3 linked regions of the Oryctolagus cuniculus genome follow. The protein of the gene in region 3 interacts with the protein of the main gene of each other region in a pairwise test. Links are inferred from orthologs where the notes say so. Each region holds a gene or a part of one and is shown on either strand. Other genes may lie near its edges. The genes, in order: PDCD7, PAM16 and FEZ1.

Region 1 (8,147 bases), on a different chromosome or scaffold from region 3:
TACAACAGAAAAGCCTAACAGATTCAGTAAATAGTGTTTTCATTCCATACTGATAAAAAAAATGCAGGGGCCAAAACAATACACAGGTACTTCAGAAAGTTCATGGAAAATGGAATTAAGGGGTATTTGCTTGTTGCAAAAGTTTTTGAAATCTATGCAGGTTTTCATAATACACATTGTGAACTTTTTTAAAGGCCCCTTGTCTGTATAGTTTGATTTCAAGCTATTGCATATAAATGAATTTTATATATAAAAAAGAATAATATGAAACACAGCATTTACTACAGACCAGGAATATTCTAAGCACTTTACACATATTTACTAATTTAACCTTCACACCACTGCATGCGTAGGTACTATCATTATTATGGTTTTTCTGATGAGGAAACCAAGGCACAGAGAAGGCGCCTGCCCCAGATTACACAATTTCTCTGAGCCGCTGACCTCTCTTGGTCTATGATCTTTTCATCTACTTTGCTTTCGAATTACAAAGAGAATTTGTCTTTTTGGCTCCCATCTCTTACGATACAACCTGCTGAAAGTCATTCCAGGGGCTGGCATTGGGGAGCAAGAGGTTGGGGCTCCATTAGAAGGTACTATCACTCATTCAGTAGACCAGGTTAGAACCTGGAAGTCATTTGTTTCCTTCAGCGTTCATATGCTGAGTTCCCGTAAGTTATTTAGGCTCCCATTCTCCTTTCATTATCTTTTAAATTCATTTACTGCCTCCAACTCACTCTCATACTATCCAGCCCTACCCAGACAACAGCTTTCCCAGCCTCTCCCCTCTCCCCTCTGCCTCCTCAGCTCTGGCACTGAACTCTGTCATCATTTCACTTTCTGTCTAAGATCTCTGAGTGGTTCCCCACAGCTTTAAGTACAAGCGAGAATTCTAGTGTGGCCCATGAAACAGTCTGTGAAGTGGTCATGCTTAGATGTCCAGCTGCACCTATCAGCACTCAGGGGTTGGGGGAGGGGGGTTTGACTCCAAGGCCAGGATGGGAAGTAGCCACGCTGAAAGCTGTCGTACTGCTCAGTGAACAAGCTGGCTGAATGCACAAGGGTCACATTCCAAAACTTTATGAGGGATCGAAGAGAACTGCAGTTTTCACTGATATGAGGGTATTTCAAAAAGGCTGTGGTAAATGCAACTGAAAGCTTATTTTGGGGGAAGGTGTGTAACACAGCAGTTAACTTGCTGTTTGGGATGCCCATCTCCCATACTGGAGTGCCTGGTTCAAGTCCTGGCTACTTCACTTCTGACTCAGCTTCCTGCTAATGTACACCCTGGGAGGCAGCAGGCGACAGCTCCAATAATAGGTCCTCCAATACATGTGGGAGGCTGGAACCGAGTTCTTGGCTCCTGGCTTCAGCCTGGCCTAGCCCTGGCAGTTGTAGGCATTTGGAGAGTGAACCAGCGATGGATGATCTCTTTCCACATGTCTCTCTCTGCCTCTCAAATAAAAATGAAAATAAATACCTTGAGAAGTTTACTTTGGTATAAAAAAATTTCCAAGGTCATACATACAAGGGTATCTTCAAAAAGTTCATGAAAATGCATATTATGGGAACATTATGCTTGGATTTCAAAACAATTTTTGTATAAAAATAAAACATCTTAATTCCATTTTCCACTAACTTTCTGAAGTACCCTCACATTTTAAACCACACAGAGGAAATCACCTGCTACAACAGCACTTGTTAATTCGTATACTTCCAAATCTCCCTGGCAAATGTCAGAGGCCTAGAACCTACTAAATAAGGCAACATGGGACAAACCAAGCACAAATGGAGTGTGAGGTCACTGCGGCCCGACCAAGGAGGGAGGAGGCCGCACGGTATTCAGTTCTGAATCACGGGGAGATCTTCAAATGGCAAAGACGGGACTGAGGGCCTTGCAGACAAATGCACTGGCAAGAACAAGGATCCACACATGCAAGCGGAAGGCACGCCTGGGTGACTTCTAGAAAACCAGCATGCCTAGAACAAACTTCTGTGAAGAAACTTGGACTGCCCCGCTAGGGTGCTGGTGCTCCCTCCTCTGAGCCCAAAAGCAACAATCAGGGAAGCTGGGGACATCCGTGCATTCTGCAATGTATTCCACCCTGTCCAGCTGGCCACGCCTCTTCACACCGCAGTAACTCAGGCATGAGATGTAGCCGAAGGAGCACATTACGTTTCCAACACTTTGTGGAGCAACAAGGGCGGGCAGGAAAGCTTGTGCCGTGGCCCGCTGGCAAAGCTGACCAGCCACAACAAGCCCATTCAGAAAAGCGTGGCCACTGACGCCTGGGGTAGGAACGGTGAGTCAAGGGGTTCCCACACCTGCCTCCCCTTCCAACCTTGCTGTCCAAGGGCTAAACATCTTCCAAGGCTTTCGGCTCCCAGTGACTCTAAAGAGTGAAAATAATAAAGTATTTTTCTTCCAAAAATGTTGGGGTGGGAAGCCACTAGGGTAAAAAAAAAAAAAAAAAAAGAAAGAAAGAAAGAAAGAAAAAAGGTGTGTGTGTGGGGGGGACGCAAAGCCACAGCTACCTTTCCTTGCTGCAGCCTCTTTCCTCAGTTTCCTCAGTTTCTCCAAAGCCCGAAGAATGTCCACCATTCGCTTGGTGTCTGCTTGCTTCTTCCTCACCTCAGATAAGACACCATCAGCTGCAGCTTTGAGTTCCTGCTCCTGTAGGGGAAACACGGCTGTGAGCCTAGCGCCAGGAACACACTCCCAGCAGAGTGGCTGCCTGGTGGTGAGATCTGGGGGGATCAGCCAGTCCCTGGGGCAAGACCCGCTGAGTCTACATCTCAATTTCCGGGGCCTGACACAACTTCCCTCCACAACGTTCCAGCCAAGGGGCTCCCTGCTCCACGGAGGGACAGTAACCGTCATCCCAAAGATGAACCTCTGCTCTCGGCAGCTTCGCCACAGGCACTGCTCTGGCTCAGCCTCAGTGCTTCTGAAAGGGCAGTGCAGGGAACATCTGCACCCAACTGTCCTGATGATTCGGATTCTCAGAGACAGAAGGATTGGGGCTGGGGAGGCCCAGAACTCTACCAAGGTGTCTGAGCGATGACCAATATAGCCCTAAAGCCCCACGGATCTCTTTCACGTGGCCCCCTCACAAACACCGAAAAGACCACTATTCCATTCTTTCCGACTTGGTTCCCGTGGGATATAATAACCCAGTTCCTTAAGTCATTCCTCAGGCTCCAACACGTGGTGGACAGCAGGAAGGACCCGCCTGCTGGGCTCTGTCCCACAAGTCAAGTAAGCGCCTGTAATTCCCCCACCACCACCCCCACCACGCTGCTTCACTCCTCTGTTTGGTTGACTTCTGCCTGGAGCCGCACCTGTTGCTTTCATTTGGCTCTGACATTTCCTCCAAGGCTCATCTCAGATGCCATTAAATCATCGAGAAAGCCTTTCCCCCAAGGCTTAAGTACCCCTTTTCTGGGCTCCTATAGCATCACACACCATGCTGTACTGACAGGATCCCCCATGGGGCTCTAAGACCCTCAAGGGCCAGGGCTATATCCTATTCATCTCCATTCCTAGCAGCTGCACTGGACCTGCCACAACAGAGCCCCATGAACTGTCCACTGGACTGACTTGTGCCTCCTTTACAGCAATGAGAGCAATGCTAAAGCTCCCATCAGTACACTTAAGAGTGAAGTTACACCAGACTCCAGGGCAGGAAGACACTAGCCGATGGTGGGGAGGGAGGGACCCCAGAAGCCTTCAAAGTTGGTGAAATGCATTCAACAACTATTTGGCCAGTTTCCACTTCTCTGCAGGCCTTACTGAAGTGCTTGAGAGCCACAGGCTTGGTAATCAGAGCACCTGGGCTCACAGTCCGGTCACGTGACTGTTGGCAAGTTAACCTCTCTATGCCTCAAATGCCTAATGGTGAAATTGGGATAATTCTCCCTACCCCACAGGATTGGTATATTCGAGATCTGGTGTGTAACAAGCTTAGCATTGCGCCTCATGCGTACATGATAGTAAGCACTCAAAAACACCACTGCTGAACCTGGTGATTCATGGTTTAAACGTCGTAAACAAAGGAATCCTGCGGCAATCACTGTGAACCCATCAGCCAATCAGGACGTACGTTCCTCGAGGTAAAGCCCCAAGTTCCCTATATTTTTTTGTCCTTTAAATCAGCGCGGGTGGCACGCAGCCAGCCCCGTGTGGGTCGTGAAAGCTCAGTGGAGAGAACGTTGGAGCAGGCCACAAGGGACCTGTCGGCCAGCGACGCCACTGCGAAGTCCCATACCTGTGTCGCCAGGACTTTATTGCAAACACTACTAGAGCTTTTGTTTTGTGTTCTGCACACCAGGAATACCCAATGAACACGGACGTACGAGGCGGGAAGGCTATCTTTTCACTTTATGGCTAAAGAAACATTCGGGTTAGACCTGAAAAATACCACAGCTGAAAGTCTCAGGCTGCTTCGAGTTTCAGCCACCACCTCCAAGGCCCGCACGTGCCCAGCGCTCTCACCCGCTTCTTCTCCTCCACCTCCTGCACGCACTTGACCCTCCAGCGATCAATCTCCTGCTCGCGTTCCACTGCCCGGGCCGCCTCCGCCTCCCGCTCGGCCTGGCGTTCCCGAGCCCTCTCTCGAAACCGCACCCGGCGGCGCCGGATCCTCTCCAGCCTCCGCCGCGCCTCACCCACGTAGGCGGCCTGGGTCAGCGGCTGCAGCCGCTCGGCTAGTTCGGCGCGCAGGGGAGCGGCCTGGGCATGCAGCAGGGCCCAGGCTGCGCCGTCGGCCTCGGCCTCACGCAGGGCTTGGCTCAGGTCGCGCAGCCGCCGCACCAGGCGCAGAGCCCCGCGCAACCGCGCGCGCACTTCGCCTAGGCTGGGCCCCGGGTGCGTGCGCTGGGGCACCGGGCAGCCAGCGCGCCGCGGGGTGCCGAACACAGCCTCTAGCCACTGCCGGTCGCGCAGGCGCTGCAGGGCCACGTCCCCGAGCACGTCGGACGGTGGCGGCACCTCAGGCCAGCGCAGGCTCCAGGGAGGCCCCGGGCCTGGAGCCGGTGGCCCTGGGCGCTCGCTAGCGTCGGTCCCCGTGAAGGGCCGGCACTGGGGCGGCGGCGGCGGTAGCGGCGGCGGCGGCGGCACCGGGAAGAAGGAACCACTGCCGCCGCCGCCGCCGCTACGGGAGGCTTCCGTGGGACCCCGGGGCTGCAAAGCCAGCGGAGGCTGGAGGAAGGGGGCAGAGGTCCCCGGGAAAGGGCCGGGCCGCTGGGTAAGAGGCGGCGGGAAAGCCGGGGAGGGCAGCGGCGGCGGAGGACAGCCGAACGGAGCAGGGGGCGGTGGCTGCGGAGGCGGCGGGCCCGGACGACCTGCGGAGAAGAAGGGCGGCAGGGCCATGTTCACAAGATGCTGAGAAGTGACAGGAACTTGGTTCCCAGGGAGCGTCTTCCGGGCGGAAGTGACGTATTTGGACATGCGACGCGGTGCGTCCTGTCTAGAAAGCCCGGCGCGCTGGAGTGGGCGCTCATTCAATCTTAAAGCTTTCGTTTTTCTTTTTCTCTCTTTCTTCATTCCTTATTTATTTATTTAAAAGAGACAAAGAGAGAGAGAGAGAGATCTTAAATCTGCTGGTTCACTCCCTAGATGGCCGCAACAGCCAGGGCCAGGAGCTTCTTCTGGGTCTCCCACGCGGGTGCAGGGGCCCAAGGATTTGCGGATCCTCGGCTGCTTTCTCAGGCACATTAGCAGGGAGCGCCATCGGAAAGTGGAGCAGCCAGGACTCCAAAGCTGCAGGCTGTGGCTTAACCCGCTGCATTGTGGCGGCCCCCAAAACTCTCCTTTCTTAATTACTGTGCTAGACGCAGAGCTAGGCGCCATAGGCACAGTGAAACAAAGACCTAGGGGTGGCCCTGTCTGGGAAAGAAAACCCTTTGATCAAGCAGTCATGCGAAGGTAGAAGTGTGATAGTACTTGACTTAGTGGAAGCGATTTGGGAAGGTTGCTCTAAGGACTTGAGGCTTCATCTGCAATCTGAAGGAGAAACAGGAGTTAAATAGAAGAGGGAGAAGCACAATCCCAGGTGATAGCACAGAAAGGTGTGTGCCCTTGCGGGCACTTTCAGATAATGCCAGTGTGGATGGAGCACTAAGAACAACAGGAAACCACTGACTTGAAACAGGAGGTGAAGGAAGGCCGTACAACGTGATTGTATTTTAAACATAATTTGAGAATTGTGGATTCCTGGGCAGTTTTAAGAAGCAATACAGGGGGGCCGGCGCTGTGGCATAGCGGGTAAAGCTGCCTCCTGCAGTACCGGCATTCCATATGGGCGCCAATTCAAGACCCAGCTGCTCCACTTCCAATCCAGCTCTCTGCTGATGGCCTGGGAAAGCAGTAGAAGATGGCCCAAATGCTCAGGCCCCTGGGAGAGAGACCTGGAAGAAACTCCTAGCTCCTGGCTTCGGATCGGTCCAGCTCTGCGACCATCTGGGGAGTGAACCAGCAGATGGAAGACCGACCTCTCTCTCTCTCTCTCTCTCTCTCTCTTTCTCTCCCTGCCCTCTCTATAATTCTGACTTTCAAATAAATAAATAAATCTTTTTAAAAAAGGCAGCTATACAGGGAGATCATATGTATGATATGTATGCTTCAACCCTGGTGGAAACTTCTTGCAGAACTGTAGTGCAATATCACAACCTGAATCAGCCCAGCTCTGGCTGTTGGGGCCATTTGGGGAAGAAACCAGCAGATGGAAAACCTTTCTATCTCTCTCTCTTTGCCTATAACTCTACCTCTCAAGTAAATAAATAAATCTTTAAAAAAAAATAGGGGCATAACGGGTAAAGCCATCACCTATAATGTCGGCATCCCATATGGGCACCGGTTTGTGTCCTGGCTGCTCCACTTCCAATCCAGCTCCCTGCTGATGTGCCTGTGAGTAGCAGAAGATGGCCCGAGCTCTTGGGCCCCTGCACCCATGTGGGAGACCCAGAGGAAGCTCCTGGCTCCTGGCTTTGGGTCAGCCCAGCTCCTGCCATTGCTGCCATTTGGGGAGTGAACCAGCAGATCGAAGACCTTTCTCTGTCTTTCCCTCTAACTCTACCTCTGAAATAAGTAAATAAATCTTAAAAAAAAAAATAAAGCTGCTATAAAGCATTTTTTAGAGATTTTATTTATGTATTTATTTGAAAGTTGAGTTACACAGAGAGAGAAAGAGAAGCATGCCTGCATCCCAGAGTGCCTGGGTTTGAGTCCTGGCTTCACTTCAGATTCCCACTTCCTGTTAATGCAGAAAGTTCTTCAAGAAAAAAGGAAGTATAAACTTCACGTCTCTGGAATAAAGTGTCCAGGAGTGCAATTGCTGGGTCATGTGGTGGTTGTATGTTTATTTTAAGAAACTGCCCAGTAATTTTCCAGAGTGGCTGGACCACTTTACCTTCTGGTAGCTTTGGGATCCGCAAGTAGGGAGGCCTATACTTCCGGGAATGGAGAAGCCCCTACCTGTACTTGCAGGGAAGAAAAGTCCTTGTCAAGGTCCCCGCGGGTGCCTAAAGGTCAACCAATGAGGATCAGACCCGCCTCAACCTTTAACCCCCATGCCCTGAGTCTATAAAAGGAGCCCTCCCAACCTCTGACGTGCAACTTCTCCGGCCCCCGCTCTGTTGCTCTGTTGGGACCGGTGAACCTCGCCCGGGAGCGGAACCCCAATAAAAGCCTATGAATTAATTATCTGCCTGGGAAGATTTGTTATGCGCCGGATACCTTGCACCTTCCACCAGCAATAAGTATATGAGTGCTCTGGCTTCTCGGCATCTGTCATTTTGTGTTACAATTTTCATTTTAGATATACTGGTACATATGTAGTAGTATCTCAATGATCGTTTAAAAAAAATATTTGAGCCGGTGCCACGGCTCATTAGGCTTGGTTAGGGCACCGGATTCCGTCCCGGTTGCTCCTCTTCCAGTCCAGCTCTTTGCTGTGGCCCGGGAGGGCAGTGGAGGATGGCCCAGGTCTTTGGGCCCTGCACCCGCATAGGAGACCAGAAGCACCTGGCTCCTGGCTTCGGATCGGAGCAGCACGCCAGCCATACTGGCCATTTAGGGGGTGAACCAATGGAAAGGAAGACCTTTCTCTCTGTCTCTCTCTCTCTCACTGTCTAACTCTGCCTGTCAA
Region 2 (8,076 bases), on a different chromosome or scaffold from region 3:
TGGTTCACCCCCCCAATGGCCGCCGCGGCCGGTGCACCGCGCTAATCCGAAGGCAGAAGCCAGGTGCTTCTCCTGGTCTCCCATGGGGTGCAGGGCCCAAGCACTTGGGCCATCCTCCACTGCACTCTCGGGCCACAGCAGAGAGCTGGCCTGGAAGAGGGGCAACCGGGACAGAATCCGGCACCCTGACCAGGACTAGAACCCGGGATGCCGGCGCCACATGTGGAGGATTAGCCTATTGAGCCGCGGTGCCGGCCCTTTTTTCTTTCTTTTTTAAAAAATATTTATTTATATACTTAAAGGCAGAGTCACAGAGAGGCAGAGAGAGAGAGAGACAGAGATGTTTTCCATCCATTGGCTCACTCTCCAAATGGCCACAACAGCTGGAGCTGAGCTGATCCGAAGCCAGGAGCCAGGATCTTCTTCCCAGTCTCCCACGTGTACAGGGGCCCAAGGACTTGGACCATCTTCTACTGTTTTCCCAGGTCATAGCAGAGAGCTGGATCAGAAGTGGAGCAGCCGGGACTCGAACGGGCGCCCATACAGGATGCAGGCACTGCAGGTGGTGGCTTTCCAGCTACACCATGACGCCGGCCCTCAACTTTGCCCTTCAAATAAGTGAATTTTTAAAGTCATGCAGGAACTACTTAGAGCAAAGCAGTTTCCACCTTCAAGGAGCTGAAAGCCCAATAGGAGGGCATTCAGACACACACTCTAAGGACCAAACACTTCAGAGTAGGGCAGCCCCATCTGCTCAGGGCTGGCCACTGCTCACGGTGCTCCACCCAGCACTGACTGCAGATACACAGCCTCTGAGCCCTGCACTGAGGGAGCTCACAAGCAGAGGGGCGAGGTTACACACACCCTAAGGCTGTGGGTTCCAGGAGCTGGCACCAGAGGGAAACCTCGGGAACAAGCGAGCACTGCCGCCCGGCGGGATCCAGAGCCGAGCAAGCCCAGCGAGGGGCTCCACAGACTCCACTGGACTCTAGACTCCAGAACCGGCCTCTGGCGTCCAAGGACCTAGCGTCCCTAACAGGCGGGATGTGACCACAGGCCTGTAAGGGAATGCATACAGAAGTGGGTTTGGAGTTCACAAGTTAGGTGGACATTTCACTGCAGAAAGCCAAGCCCGGGTGGCAGGGGCAAGGAACAGCCGCGGCTCTGGCTCACGTGTGCGGGTGTGTGTGTATCTCATCTGACCCTGCTCTTCTTGCCTAAAGCCACTGCTACAGGGGACAGGCGGCTCTGAGGTCGAGCGCTGATGGCCAGCAGGTCACGGCATCCAGGCCTCAGAGGCCGCCTCCCACAGCAGCCTCATTCTCTGCTACCACGGCCCATCACATGGCCTTGTAATCACTGTTTTACTTTTCTGACAAGGCCAATGACTGATGCTCCACACAATGCATGCTGGGAACTGAAGCTTGGGGGCTGGCTTTGTGGTGCAGCAGGTAAAGCTACCGCCTGCAATGCCGGCAACCCATATGGGCGCTGGTTCCAGTCCCTGCTGCCCCACTGCTGATCCGGCTCCCTGCTAACGGCCTAGGAAAGCAGCCGAAGATGGCTCAGGTGCGTGGCCCCTGACAACCCAGTGGGAGACCTGGAAGCAGCTCTTGGCTTCAGCCTGGCCCAGCATTGGCTGTTGTAGGCATCTGGGCAAAGAACCAGCAGATAGAAGACCTCTCTTTCTGTCTCTCTAACTCTTCCAAATAAGTAAATAAATCTTTAAAACAAAAAACAGACCTTGGGTCAGTGTTATGGTGCAGTGGTTTAAGCCTCCACCTGCAATGCCTTAAAGGACCCAGTTCAAGTCCCAGCTGCTCCACTTCTCGTCCAGTTCCCTGCTAATGGCTTGGAAAAGCGGCGGAAGATGGCCCAAGTGCTTATGCCCCTGAACCCATGTGGGAGACCTGGAAGAAGCTCCTGACCCTGGCCATGGAAGCCATTTGGGGAGTGAACCAGTGGACAGAAGACCTCCCTGTTTCTCCCTCTCTCTCTCAGTAACTCCCTCTTTCAAATAAGTAAATAAACCTTGATAGATACATAGAGAACTGAGACTACAGAGATAGGACCTGGACAGGGGTCTAGGTTCCTAGCTTCATCCTGGCCCAGCCCTGACTACTGTGGGCCTTTGGGAAAGGAACCAGTGGGTGGGAGAGCTCTCCATCTCTTTTCCTATCACTCTGCCAAATAAGATAAAAAAAAAAAAAAAAAAAATACTGAGCACCTACAGCTAGGCTGCATGCCAAGCACCGTCCAGGCGTCATCCCAGGCAGTCCCTGTTACAGCCCCTTTCTGGCCTCGGCCTACAGGAGAGGAAACTGCAATCAGGGCTGAGGACTTGCCCAGGTTCACACAGCTGGCACGTGCGCACAGGTGGTCCCAGAGCCTGCCACGGTGCCCGCCATGCTGCCCCCCTTGAGAGACAAGACAGCTCCCACAGGGACCTTGGTGGCCCAGGAGGCCACCTGGGCAGCTCCCTTGACCACCGGGATAGTGTAGGGAGCCTGGCGCCCCACCCTGGGACAGCTGGAACCGCAGGTCACCGTGCCACGGGGCAGAGGGGGAAAAGGACACCTTTCATCCACGGTTCACTCTGTAGATCCTACAACAGTTGGGCTGGGCCAGGCCAGGGTCAGAAGCCTGGAACTCCATGCAGGTCTCCTGCGTGGGTGGCACGGACGGGCCAAGTAACTGGGCCATCAGCTGCTGCTCTCCCAGCAGCATCAGCAGGAAGCTGGACTGGCAGCAGAGGAGCTGGGACTCAAACCCACACTCCAGTGAGAGCTGCAGATGCCCACGCAGCGACTTCAACTGCTGTGCCACAACGTCCCCCGGGGTCCACTTACTGCTATTCTTCACGTCACAAACGAGGCAACGGCCAGACAGTGCGGAGGGTTCTGATGAGGCCCTCTGATTCCCTGGGGCGCGGGGAAGCCAAGACGTCCACCGGAACCGGAGTCTCGGCTCGGCAATTCTGGGCAGGTGACTCAGCCTCGGAACCTCAGTTTTCTCTGGAGAGAACACCCTCCTCACAGAAGACTTGGGCCCTCAGAAGTGGACAGGAAGACAGTGACGGCTGCCGTGCTTCGGGCTAGAAGGCGCCCATCAAACCCTCCCAGCACCATCTCTGGGCCTCACCATGCTCAGAGCAGGTTCCTGGGAGCCGAGCTTCGCCAGTGCAGCGACCACGGATAATCAAAGCCAGCAGCTGAAATCCCTCCCACAAGGCCCCAAGGCACCCCACAGTCCACTGACACTTAGGCCTGAAGGTCCCAGCAAGAGAAACCAGCCCACGTGGCACCCACCTTCAGGTCTAGCTAGCTAGTGAGCACCGGTCAGGGCCGTGGGGCTCCGACTCCGGGACCCACAAAGGGCACCACGGATGCTTTCTCCTCTGGGAGTGAAGCCATGAGGTCGGGAAAAGGGCCACGGACAAAGCAGGGGTGGGCTGCACTCGGGAACGTACAAGTGGGTCACCTGCCCAGAATTGCCGAGCGGAGACTCCAGTTCCGGTGGACGTCACCCTCGCCGCTTCCCCGCGCCCCAGGGAATCAGAGGGCCTCCATCAGAACCGATGTGGGGCAGAAGCTCCAAGGAGCCAGCTTCCAGACCCTGCCTGCCACGCTCCCAGCCCTCGGGGTGGGGCAGGGACCACCACTCGGGCACTTATCACAGTATTCCCAGGACGGCGCTGGTGCAGCAGGTGCCCCAGACACATCTGAATCAATGTGGCTAAGGATCGACACTTAACCAGGCCACCCACAGCTCTGCTTTGGCCATAGTTCTATGCCCCTGGATAGGGTTTCCGAATGCCCCCTGACCCCGCCGCTAGGGGTCAGCCCCCTCCCCAGCTGGGGACTCCGGTTCCCTCTCCCCTAGACCCTCTAACCCTAGGTCGGCGCTCACACCTTACTCACCCTCAATATCCGCCCCCCTCCCACCTGTCGAAACTCAGGACTCAGCCCTCGCCCCGAGCCTTCCCAGGCCCCTACTCATCCCTCCCCACGCCTCTCTATGCGTTGTCACGTCGCCTTGTCCCGTGCACTCGCTGCTTTCTCCCCCCGCGCCGTTCTGCTTGGCAGAGAGCGGGGCTCCCAGCTCAGCTGGGGCTCAGGCTGCGGCGGCGAACGCGCGCCCAGGACTGGCCCCCGACTCCGTGGGACCTGAGCTTCAGGCTGCTAATCCGTAAGACGGCAACGCCAGCAGCAGGACCCCGAAGAAGCCGCTGAGACTTCTCCACGGGCCGCCGCGTCCTCCCGCCCCACCTGCGCGGCGGCCGCGTGGGGAACGGACAGAACCGGCGCTCCAGCGCCCACCGGCCCGTGCCCCGGCTCTCGGCGCCCACACTTCTCGGTGTCTCGGGGCCCACTTCAGGTCTCCCACGTCCTTGGAAAAGCCACCTTCTCGACGGGGACAACACCGACGTCGCAGGACCCCAGGGCCCCGTGCCCACGGGTCTTCCCGCCACTTCCCCTGGACTCCCCGACCCTGCTTCCGGCCGGGCACACGACATCCACGGCGGTCGCACAGCCTGGAGCCCGCAGCCTGTGTCTCCCTCCCAGGCCCGGGCTCGGGCGCCCCTCCGCCCGCAGCGCCTCACCATGGCGGCCGCTCTGAGGCAGGGGCGCCGCTGCTGGCTTCCTGCCCCGGGGCCCCGGCTCAAAGGTCAAAGGCTGCTAGAGAACGCGTGCGCGAGGCCGCTCTGAGCATGCGCGCTGCTCGGCCGGGGCGGGGCGCCGGCGGTGACGTAAAGGAGGGGCGGGGTGCGGCGGGAGGCCCCACCCCCACCCCCACCCCGCGCTCCTCGGCGTACCGGGAACCGGGGACGAACCTTCGCTGCTCTCCGACTGTCCACGCGCTACACCAGCGACAGCAAGTGCACCTCGCTCAAACGTGGGGCAGTTTATTCCCTTGGTTTTGCAGGGATAGTTGGAACTAAAACATTATATGAAATAAACCAGTATATGGAGGAAGATGCCAAACCCTTGGTGCATTCAATAAAACGGGAAACTTTAAAAAAAAAAAAAAAAACTTTACTATTTAAAAGGCAGAGTTACAAGGAGAGAAAGAGAGACAGAGAGATCGATCCTCCATCCACTGGTTCACTCCCCAGATGGCCACAATGACCAGGGCTGGACCGAGCCAAAGCCAGGAGCCAGGAGCTTCTTCCATGTCTCCCACGTGGATGGCAGGGTCCCAAGCATTTGGGCCATCACTTGCTTCCTCCCATGATGCATCAGCAGGACTGCTGATCAGAAGTGGAGCAGCCAGGACTCAGCTCAGGCATTCCCAGCGCCCTGACATGGGATGCGAGTGTCCCACAGTGCCCGCCCCACACTCACCACTTCAAAGTGCACAGTCGAGTGCTTTTTTTTTTATTTTTTATTTTTTATTTTTTATTTATTTATTTATTTTTTGACAGGCAGAGTGGACAGTGAGAGAGAGAGACAGAGAGAAAGGTCTTCCTTTGCCGTTGGTTCACCCTCCAATGGCCGCCGCGGCCGGCGCACCGCGCTGATCCGATTGCAGGAGCCAGGAGCTTCTCCTGGTCTCCCATGGGGTGCAGGGCCCAAGCACCTGGGCCATCCTCCACTGCACTCCCTGGCCACAGCAGAGGGCTGGCCTGGAAGAGGGGCAACCGGGACAGAATCCGGCGCCCCAACCGGGACTAGAACCTGGTGTGCCGGCGCCGCTAGGTGGAGGATTAGCCTAGTGAGCAGCGGCGCCGGCCCAGTCGAGTGCTTTTTAGTATTTTCAGAGCTCTGCAGCCACCGGCACCATCTAGTTCCAGAAAACTCTGATCTCTCGGTGCCAGACACTCCCCATTCCCATGGCCCCTGCCCCTGGCCCTGCCCCTGTCCACCATTCCACACCTGCCCGTTCTGAGCACCTCCCAGAAGGCAGGACTCTTACCTCTTCCTCCACTCCTGGATGTCAGAGGCTTGGAAGGTTGTCTGCGGCGAGGCAGACACTCCCATGTTTGTTGATGGACTGTGCCCTGGACCACTGCCAGCCCCACCCCCACCCCCACCCCCAGCCTGGTGCCTTTGATCCCCCCCCCCCCCCCCGCAGGCTCTGCGGCCGGCTCTCCACTGGCCTTCGGGGCGCAGCTTTCAGCTTCAGGGTCACCTCCTCCGTCCCTGAACACGATGCCCCCGCACGGAGCCACTTCCTTTCGCGGCATCTGGACGGCTGCTCTCGCACACAGCCTGGGTCCCTGAACAGACGGCTGTGAGCGGAAGCTCTCTGAAATACTTGTCTCTCTTGTCCGCTACACGTCCTAGCATCCAGGCGCTGCCGGAAACCTGTGTGTCAAGTATGCAAACTCCCAGCAGCATGGGGCCGAGCCGGACACGGGCAGCCGCTCATTCCTACGACTGTGCCCCTCCCCTCTCAGCCAGCCCAGAGACCAGCACAGCACAGCACGGGCAGCGACAGGTTTAATTGCTGAGAACATCCAGGGCACCCGTGGCCAGTCCCTGTGGGGCTCCTACCCTCTGGCTGGACCAGTGCCTCTGAGATGTTTCTCTCCTGATGAGCCTGGGGAAAAGGACAACTGGTCCCCGGCCCCTGAGGCTGGTGCTGCTCCAAAAGGCATGGTGGGGGGCCAGCCCCCAAGGTCCTTGATGAACTGGGGCAGCGGGCAAGATGGGATGGCAGGTGGTAGCCCGAGGTGCCGGCCGAGGCCTGCCCAGGCTGGGATCAGCCCAGACCAGTAGGAGGGCGGGGGAGATGAGGAGCCCAGGGCCTGCCCAGGACCGTGCTGTGGACCCCCCACCCTGCACCCTTGGCTCCACATGCTAGCAGGCAGCTGAAGTGAGGCAGCCAGGCCCAGAGAAAGCAGAGGTGCAAGACAGTCCACAGGGGTGCAGGAGGCCCAGGGGCCAGGGGCTTCTGGGCTGCGGCATGCCAGGCCAGGGAGGCGTCTTCCAGTTTGAGTGAGATGTGGGGTGTGGTTCTGGGACACGGCAGCAGCAGGTGAGGCCGGAGCTGATGGTGGGTCAGCTAGTCCTGGGGGCACAGACCAGGCAGTGGGAGGGAGGTAAGGGTGCCGTGGCAGGGAGGCGGCGCACTCTGCGTGGGGGTGGGGGGAGCCGGGCGCACTGGCCACTCACCCACTCGTCCTCGTCCACGCCTTCGAAGGAGTCCTGTGGCAGCGGGTCCTCCCGGTTCCCCAGCTTGGCCACCATGGCGCTCAGCAGCTGGGGGGAAGGAGGAGGGTCAGACCGAGGGATGGGGGGGGCCCAGAGCATCAGGCCCCATGGCTACAGCCCCGGCCATGCTGTGAGGAGCCATTTCAATGAGGGTCCCAGCAAAGCTTGTAGGGGGGCCAGCATCGTGGTGTAATGGGTTAACAGCTGCCTGCAATGCGGGCATCCTACACGGGTGCTGGTTCAAGTCCCAGACGTTCTACTCCAATCCAGCTCTCTGCTATGGCCTGGGAAAGCAGCAGAAGATGGTCCAAGTCCTTGGGCCCCTGCACCCACATGGAAGGCCCAGAAGAAGCTCCTGGCCCCTGGCTCCTGGCTTCAGCCTGGCCCAGCCCAGCTGTTGTGCCATTTGGAGAGTGAACCAGTGGATAGATCTCTCTCTCCATTTCTCCCTCTCTCTCTCTGTAACTCTCCCTTTCAAAAAATAAAATAAATCTTAAAAGAAATAAGAATAAAAACAGAGAAAAAGCACAAAGGTCATGGGTTTTCACTGAAAAAGGTGTGGAGACACAGAGGCAGGGCCAGAGCTGGAGGCTGTAGCACGTGGCTCCAGACACAGGGGCCGGCATCTCCAGTCAGTGCCTCGGACGCTCGGATGCACACCAGGACCCCACACGCACCTGGGTCCCCAACCTTTGGCTTTGCTCGGGTTGGGCGGCCTGGCCAGGGGAGGCCTCTCACTGCGCCCCACCCTGCCAGCTTCCTGTGGTCCTGGGTGCGGGGGCAGGCAGGGGGGACGGGGAGGGGGAGAGGCAACAGCAGGTCAGCAGACCAGCAGTGGGGTTCTGGGTCTCCCTACTGAGCTCTGGCATGGAGGCGGTGTGACGCCTGGCTCCATTCCCAGCCTGGGTCAGGGCTGGAG
Region 3 (7,384 bases):
CAAGAAAATAATCATAAAAACATAATAGTTGAACTCATCAATATGTATCTAAATTGGCCTCAAAAATCTACGGCCAGTGCTGTGGCACAGTGGGTTAGGCCACTGCTTGTGACTTCCCTGTGGGTATGTTGGCTTGAGTCCCGGCTTCCTGCTAATGTGCCTGGGAAGGCAGCGGAAGGTTGACCCAGGTACTTGGGCCCCTGTCCCCCGCGTGGGAGACCTAGATGAAGTTCCTGATTTCTGCTGACTTTAGCCTGGCCCAACTCTGGCTGTTGCAGCTATTTGGGAAGGGAACCAGTAGATGAAAGATATTCCTTCCTCTCTCTCTCTCTCTCTGGTTGTCAAATAAATAAATAAATAAATAAATCTTTAAAAAAAAAATTCCCAAACTTACATGGATGGCCCAGCTGCAGGAGCTGGTCTTTGGCCTATGTCTCTGATACAAGGAGGTGGTAAGGAAAGAAACACTGTTCACAAATGCATGCAAAAATTTGCTAAGGGCCTGGCATGGTGGCCTAGCAGTTAACACAAACAAAAGAATAAAACAGCAGGTGCAGAAGGGCACCTGACTCAAAATCCCCATGTGGAAGATCACCTTCCTATGCTAGCTGGAAAGTAACATCAAGAATCGGAAACTCCGGGCCAGCACTGTGGACAATGGGTAAAGCTGCCACCTGTGGCACTGGCATCCCATTGGCGCCAGTTCAAGTTCTAGCTGCTCCACTTCTGATCCAGCTCCTTGCTAATGTGCCTGGAAAAGCAGCTGAAGATGGCTCAAGTCTTGGGCCCCTGCACCTATGTGGGAGACCCAGAAGAAACTCCTGGCTTCAGATCGGCCCAGCCTTGGCCATTGCAACCATTTGGGAAACGAACCAGTTGCATGGAAGATCTGACTCTCCCTCTCTCTCTCTGTCTGTAACTTTGCCTTTCAAATAAATAAATAAATATTTTTTTAAAAAAGAAATTGCCAAAAAAGAGAGCTCTCCTACAGAATCAGTATTCAGGCAAGATGGTAGTTTTCCTTTTAAAAGGAATAAAACTTCAAAGTATATTCCATCCACGTGATAGAAGAGACAGCCATAAAATAAATGCTAACCAAATGTGAACTGCTGTGACTAAAATCATGATACAAAATTTTATAGCCAGGATAATCCCAATGATAAAGAAAAGATATAAAATATGATGGCAGGAAACCACAAAGGTAGCCACAGTGGAGTGGGCAATAAATTATTTTTCTTTGTTCACTTCTCCACATTTCCAAAGTTCTCTCCGTGATGGATGCACTTGAGCTGTGATTTTTAAAATCAAATCGAATGATGTCAACAAACCCACTCAAACAGAAACAAACCTGCTTCTTCATGAAAACAAAAGGGTTTCACACTGAATTCCTGAGCAGGTATCTGTAACAAATGAATAGCCATTCCTTTTGCTTAAGACCATGATGAAGTACTTCACCTCCATCAACCCTTGTAGCTTGCCCAAATTATTTTTCTAGTACGTACCGCCGTGAAAACACAGACACCTATATTACGTCAGTCCATCTCTATGTGCTCCCTTCAGAAAAATTATAGAGCATATTTATGTAAATAAAGGAGTCTGAAATGAGTCAGGAGTACAGCAATGTACTTGGAATTTAAAATTCCTGATTCTCAGGGATGCAGGTTCTTTGCCAGAACCTATGGCATTCACTCCCCACATGGATAAAAAAGAAGACTACTGGTCACCTTGACAGTGGGCCCAGAGGAACACAGGCCCCCGTCCCTTCCCACGAGCTGTCCAGTGGCCCCACGCGGCCCCTCCTCCCCCCAGAGCAGCCTGCGGGATACTGGACCCCCTCCTGAGCTGCCATTTTCCATGGTGCTTGGTTGCCAGGGAAATCCAATTTCCCTTGTGATCACAGAGCCCTGACCTAGGATTTTTTTCTTCCTAAGAGAGCCACGCTGATGCTGATGGCTAACACCACACACACACCCCCTGCCCTTTGGGGGAAGGACTGGTTAATGTTTATAAAGAGATTCTTGCCTATCTTTCCCGTCAGCCTGATCCCCACCACGAAACCTTGGTTCTTGGTAAAAAAAAAAAAAAAAAAAAAAAAAAAGGCAGTCAGGCCCATGGACTGAGCTCCCTCCTCCAGAGACACAGTGCAGACCAAGCAAGGGACGGGGAGGAGGGAGAGACGGCCGAGGCCGAGAGGAACTCACTGTTGGTCAGCATCTGCAGGTCTTCCACGGACGGGGGAGAGGCTTTCTTCTCATAGGGAATGACTGTGTTCAGGTACTGCAAGACAAACAGGGCACACGGCCAAGACGTAAGGCACGGCCCCCCCTCCCCCTGGGTGGGAACCGTGCTTTTCTCTAAGACACACCTGGCATTCTCCACGACCCTCGTGGTCACCGGCACCCCAGTATTTCAGGATGTCTCCCCCACCTTCGGGTGGGGCGCCCCTTTCACAAAAGCGAGACTTTCCTGTCTTCAACCAGGAACACTTCCCTGCATCCTGAATTCCACGTGCTTCCTGCCCTAGAAACTCTGGCTGTGGAGGAAGCCTGGGGGGTTCTCCCCTAGGCTGACAGCAGGCAGCATCTCCAGGGGGGTTATGTTTTCTTATCCTTTGGGGCGCAATTAGAGAAGGAATTGTTTCTCTTTTAGGTCAACAATTGAGGGGGAAGAGAACCTCCACAGTCCCAGGGTCGCCGATGTTGGATTTGCTCCCTCTGCTGGATGTGAGGTGTTCCTACAACAAAACCTGCAAGGTCGGGTTCAGTAGAACAGGCCCAAGAGGATGTCAAAGACCCTCAGGCCAGAGAGACCCTGATGGGTGCTAAGGGGGCCTGCGGGGGTAAGAGACAAGTAGCACAGATATCAAGAGGCTTCTGTTCTAGTCTTGGCTCTGCCACCAGCAGCATTGGCCTTGAGAAAATGTCTCATTTCTTTGTCCTCGTATCCCACCCGTAAGCAAGGAGAGGACTGGATTATAAATTCCTAAAATCTCACCCCAGATTGCAGCTCTAGAATTCTAACACCTAGGATTCAGCCACAGATATATTTAAAAGACATATACATTTCATGGGCACTTATTCCGCTGTCTCTAACTTGTCTGCTCCTACACTGGTTGTGCCGCTTAGCTTTTGCACCCCAGGAGGGCTGGGAGCAGGACCGTCACCTCGGACCCTGAGGGGTTCGCCACAGAGCTCAGCACATAACAGGCGTACAGTATCGTTGTGCAGCTGCCTTAATAACCAGGCACACAAGCTGCTTCGTCGGCAAGTTATTGACTAAACGGAGCCAACGAGGAGATGCCGCAGCATGGGTTACAGTCGGAGCAGGGTGGCTGATGAGGCAGTCTTGGTGGTATTTGCTCAGCTGGTGATCCAACGTGCTAGAATTAATTAAACTCTAGGAAGGGATCTCCCACCACAGCATCCTCTTTTAGTGCCTTCTGTCCTGAAGACAAATTAATTCATAGGTCTACAAGCAGTGTCAGACTGTAAGTTCTGTCCATGTCCCAGAATACCAGAGCTCAAAAGAAAAGCAGGGACAGGTGTTGGGGGCAACGGTTATGACACTGCTTGGGACACCCGCCTTCCACATCTGCTGAGCGCCTGTGTTTAAGTCTTTGCTTCCTGCTGATGCACACGCTGGGAAACAGCAGGTGATGGCTCAGGTGGTTGGGTCCCTGCTACCTATCTAGGAGAGCCAGACTGATCCAGGCTTTAACCTGGCCCCACCACAGCTGCTGCCAGCATTTGGAGAGTATACCAGCAATGGGAGGCTTTTCTTCCTGCCTGCCTGCCTGCCTCCCTCCCTCCCTCCCTTCCTTTTCCTTCTTTCCTTTCCTTTCCTTTTCTTTCTTTCTTTCTTTCTTTCTTTCTTTCTTTCTTTCTTTCTCTCTCTCTCTCTCTCTTTCTCTCTCTCTCTCTCCTTCTCTCTTTCTTTCTCTCTCTCTCTTTCTTTCTTTCTCTGTATCTGTCTTTCAAATACATTAAAAGATGGATAACTTTAAAAAAAGTAACGTTTACCTTTTGAAACGGTACTTTATATTCCAAGTGACACAAAATGCTAGGACCTTCCCCTTGCTGGGATACGCCCCAGATCCTGGGCTAAGCCTTGTTGGCCACCATTGCCACGTTGTTGGGGAGGCCATGTTGCAAGGGTCTGGGAGAAGAGCCAGGAGCGGGGAGACAACGCGTACCTGTTTGTCGGTCCCTGAGGAGCCAAAGGTCTGGCGGATGCCGCTTTGCAGGATGTTGGAGATGCCCTCCATGCTGAAGCGCTGCAGGACAGAGACACTCAGGAGGGACATGGCCTTGCTGCTCCCACCCCCAGGGACTCCTGTGTCCTCACTGAACCATCCACACCCCTCCCCTCCCCCGGCTACCATGCTGTCCCCTAGACTCTGAGATTTGGAAGTAAATTTAAGACCTTGGCTAGGCCGGCACCGCGGCTCACTAGGCTAATCCTCTGCCTTGCGGCGCCGGCACACCAGGTTCTAGTCCCGGTAGGGGCACTGGATTCTGTCCCGGTTGCCCCTATTGCAGGCCAGCTCTCTGCTGTGGCCCGGGAGTGCAGTGGAGGATGGCCCAAGTGCTTGGGCCCTGCACCCCATGGGAGACCAGGAGAAGTACCTGGCTCCTGCCATCGGATCAGCGTGGTGCGCCGGCCGCGGCGGCCATTGGAGGGTGAACCAATGGCAAAGGAAGACCTTTCTCTCTGTCTCTCTCTCTCACTGTCCACTCTGCCTGTCAAAAAAAAAAAAAAAAAAAAAAAAAGACCTTGGCTAGAATTTAAGCCTAAGCTTTGCAAGAATAGAGTAGTCTCAAAGACTCTTATCTTAGTAAGACCCTCAGGGCTACAAGGCTCTCTGCAGCCCCCAGTCTTCCTCATTTGATTCTCTACGGTATAAATAGAAAAAGAAGGCAGAACAGTAAAACTCAGTTGTACGATGATGCCGAGATCTTAGGGGAACACAGATCGTCTGGCTACCAGAAAGGGTTTAAGCATTTGTCCTGATCTGAGATGCTTCTTTCCAAAATGCACACACCTGGATCTAGGTCAGTGGCCCTGGGGCAGAGCCCAGGCAAAAGTATTTTGAAAAAGCTCCTCCTTAGGTGATTCTACTGCACTCCTCTGATGAAGAGCCAGTGGCTTGAAGAATCCCATGAATAAACCAATAAGGCACCAAGACCCCTTCCCTACCAACACCTTACCTACCCCTTGGAAGACCAACCCCTGCGCCACCCTTGATTAGACAGTCAGGGCTGTAATCTGTGCCCAATGCAGAGCTCCCAGGCCTTCACCCATCTCCAAGGTGTTGACCGCAGAGAACACGGTGCCACCTTCAATCACACTTCAATGTTTCCGCCCTATCTCCTCCCATTAGGCTGGGAGCCCTCTCTGGGAGTGGAGGTGACAGGCAGCACCTCTCTCTCTCTCTCTCTCTCTCTCTCTCTCTCTGAGTTCCTGCTCACGAGCCCGCCGTGGGGTTGGTACCAGGACTGAAAGGGCTGGGGCCGGGGACGGGCACCCGGCTTCCCGGTGGGGCTGCTCACGTACCTTGAGCGGCATCTGGCTTCCCTTCTCTATCCGGCTGCTCTGCAAGCTCAGCCCTTTCTCTTTCCGCCTCTTTTTCATCAGTTCTCGCTGCTCCTTCTGCTTGTTCTGCACTTCGATAAGCACCGTGATGAAGGAGTTCTTCACCTCCTTCTCAAACTCCAGCTCGTCCCGGCGGGCCAGCTGCTGCACCAGCTCCTCCGAGAAGTCTCGGATGGCCCCCTCCACCTGGTCCAGCAGCTCGGTCAGCTCTGACCCAGACATGTGCCTCAGCCCTGCAGGGGAAGAGCACCCTGCAGGTGACACGGCAGCCACATCCTGCCTGAGCCCACTGGAGAGGGGACTGCCCTTCAGAGAGACCCCTAACCACTCCTAGAGGCCCAGGCAAGACCTTCCTGATTTGAGGGCAGGCCAGGAAGGCAGGGGCCCAAATATCTGTGGAAGAGAATGCCATTCCCAGGACACAAGGAGGCAGGCAGCCTCCAAGGAAGCCTGTGGACTCTGGGCACAAAAACGTGCTGGACAGACATGAGGTTTTTTGATCTCCTGTTCTTCCTGTTTTCTCTCCATCTCCAGAATATTCCTCATGTGAAATGGGTCAAGAATCGAGGGAGAGAAGGCAGAGAGATTTTCTGTGCTGAACGGCAATAGAGAAGTGCTTATCCCCAAGAAATGATCTACCCCGAGCTGACAACAAAATCATCAGGCCTCTTTTCCAATCACAGACCTGGGCCACAGTGCCCATATTCAAATGCTTAGGAAACACAAGGATGGCCGGCGCCGCGGCTCACTAGGCTAATCCTCCACCTTGCGGCGCCAGCACACCAGGTTCTAGTCCCGGTAGGGGCACTGGATTCTGTCCCGGTTGCCCCTCTTCCAGGCCAGCTCTCTGCTGTGGCCAGGGAGTGCAGTGGAGGATGGCCCAAGTGCTTGGGCCCTGCACCCCATGGGAGACCAGGAGAAGTACCTGGCTCCTGCCATCGGATCAGCGCGGTGCGCCGGCTGCAGTGCACTGGCCATGCCGGCCATTGGTAAGTGAACCAACGGCAAAGGAAGACATTTCTCTCTGTCTCTCTCTCTCTCTGTCCACTCTGTCTGTCAAAAAGAAAAAAGAAAAAAAACACAAGGAAGACTGGCGATGTACAAGGGGAAATGAAGCCGCTTCCAGTCAGCACAGAGCAGTCTGCTACTTTGAGAGACAGGGAACTTGGAGGGGGCAGTGTGGCATAGCAGGTTAAGCAGTGGCTTGAGACCCCCTCCTCCACCAGCACCACCTGTATCAGACAGCCAATTCAAGCCCCCGCTACTCTGCTTCCAATCCATCTCCCTGCTGATGTGCCTGGGAGGCAGCAGATGATGGTGCAAGTACATGGGTTCCTGCCACACTTGTGAGAGACCCCAGTGGAGTTCTTGGCTCCTGACTCGGCCTGACCCAGACCAGGCATTTGGAGAAAGGTGAACCAGCAGATGGAAGATCTCTGTCTATCCCTCTTTCTCTATTGCTGTGCCTTTCAAATAAAGAAATAAATGCTTTTTAAAAAGAAAAGGGACCTGAGACCACCATGGGAACAGGTAACTTTAACTTCTTGTCCCCCTATGACTTCTTGTTTGAAAATAGATTTGGGGAACATCTCTTAAACGTAGTTCCCATTTAACGGTATCTTTTCTTTTTAACTGAGAACCCATTTTTCCTTTGCCTTTCCCTTTCTGCTTTGCCTAGATATTTGCTGACTTGGCTCAAGCTTCCCTTTATTTTGCTCTTGGGAGATGTCCTCCTCCTCCTGTTTGTTTTTTGCCATTTCACTCTGCATCTCAGCTGTTTCCATGGGCCCTT

What was found.
Region 1: the proteins of FEZ1 (region 3) and PDCD7 interact in a two-hybrid assay, tested with the Homo sapiens proteins (2 studies listed by BioGRID and IntAct). The link is inferred for Oryctolagus cuniculus from reciprocal best matches to the Homo sapiens genes FEZ1 and PDCD7.
Region 2: the proteins of FEZ1 (region 3) and PAM16 interact in a two-hybrid assay, tested with the Homo sapiens proteins (2 studies listed by BioGRID and IntAct). The link is inferred for Oryctolagus cuniculus from reciprocal best matches to the Homo sapiens genes FEZ1 and PAM16.

The regions. Positions count from the first base shown.
Region 1 is NC_091443.1:88,135,790-88,143,936, forward strand, and holds the start of PDCD7 (programmed cell death protein 7), read right to left. Parts: upstream 5,422-8,147; 5' UTR 5,372-5,421; coding exon 4,496-5,371; intron 2,675-4,495; coding exon 2,536-2,674; intron 1-2,535. UniProt on the Homo sapiens protein: Promotes apoptosis when overexpressed.
Region 2 is NC_091450.1:31,256,780-31,264,855, reverse strand, and holds the start of PAM16 (mitochondrial import inner membrane translocase subunit TIM16), read right to left. Parts: upstream 4,720-8,076; 5' UTR 4,607-4,719; coding exon of another isoform or gene 4,604-4,606; intron 3,051-4,603; exon of another isoform or gene 2,850-3,050; intron 2,307-2,849; 5' UTR 2,268-2,306; coding exon 2,232-2,267; intron 2,219-2,231; exon of another isoform or gene 1-2,218. Other genes in the region: CORO7 (coronin-7), read right to left, coding at 7,009-7,014, 7,119-7,205. UniProt on the Homo sapiens protein: Regulates ATP-dependent protein translocation into the mitochondrial matrix. Inhibits DNAJC19 stimulation of HSPA9/Mortalin ATPase activity.
Region 3 is NC_091432.1:118,688,440-118,695,823, forward strand, and holds part of FEZ1 (fasciculation and elongation protein zeta-1), read right to left. Parts: intron 5,826-7,384; coding exon 5,554-5,825; intron 4,274-5,553; coding exon 4,193-4,273; intron 2,278-4,192; coding exon 2,202-2,277; intron 1,290-2,201; exon of another isoform or gene 395-1,289; intron 1-394. UniProt on the Homo sapiens protein: May be involved in axonal outgrowth as component of the network of molecules that regulate cellular morphology and axon guidance machinery.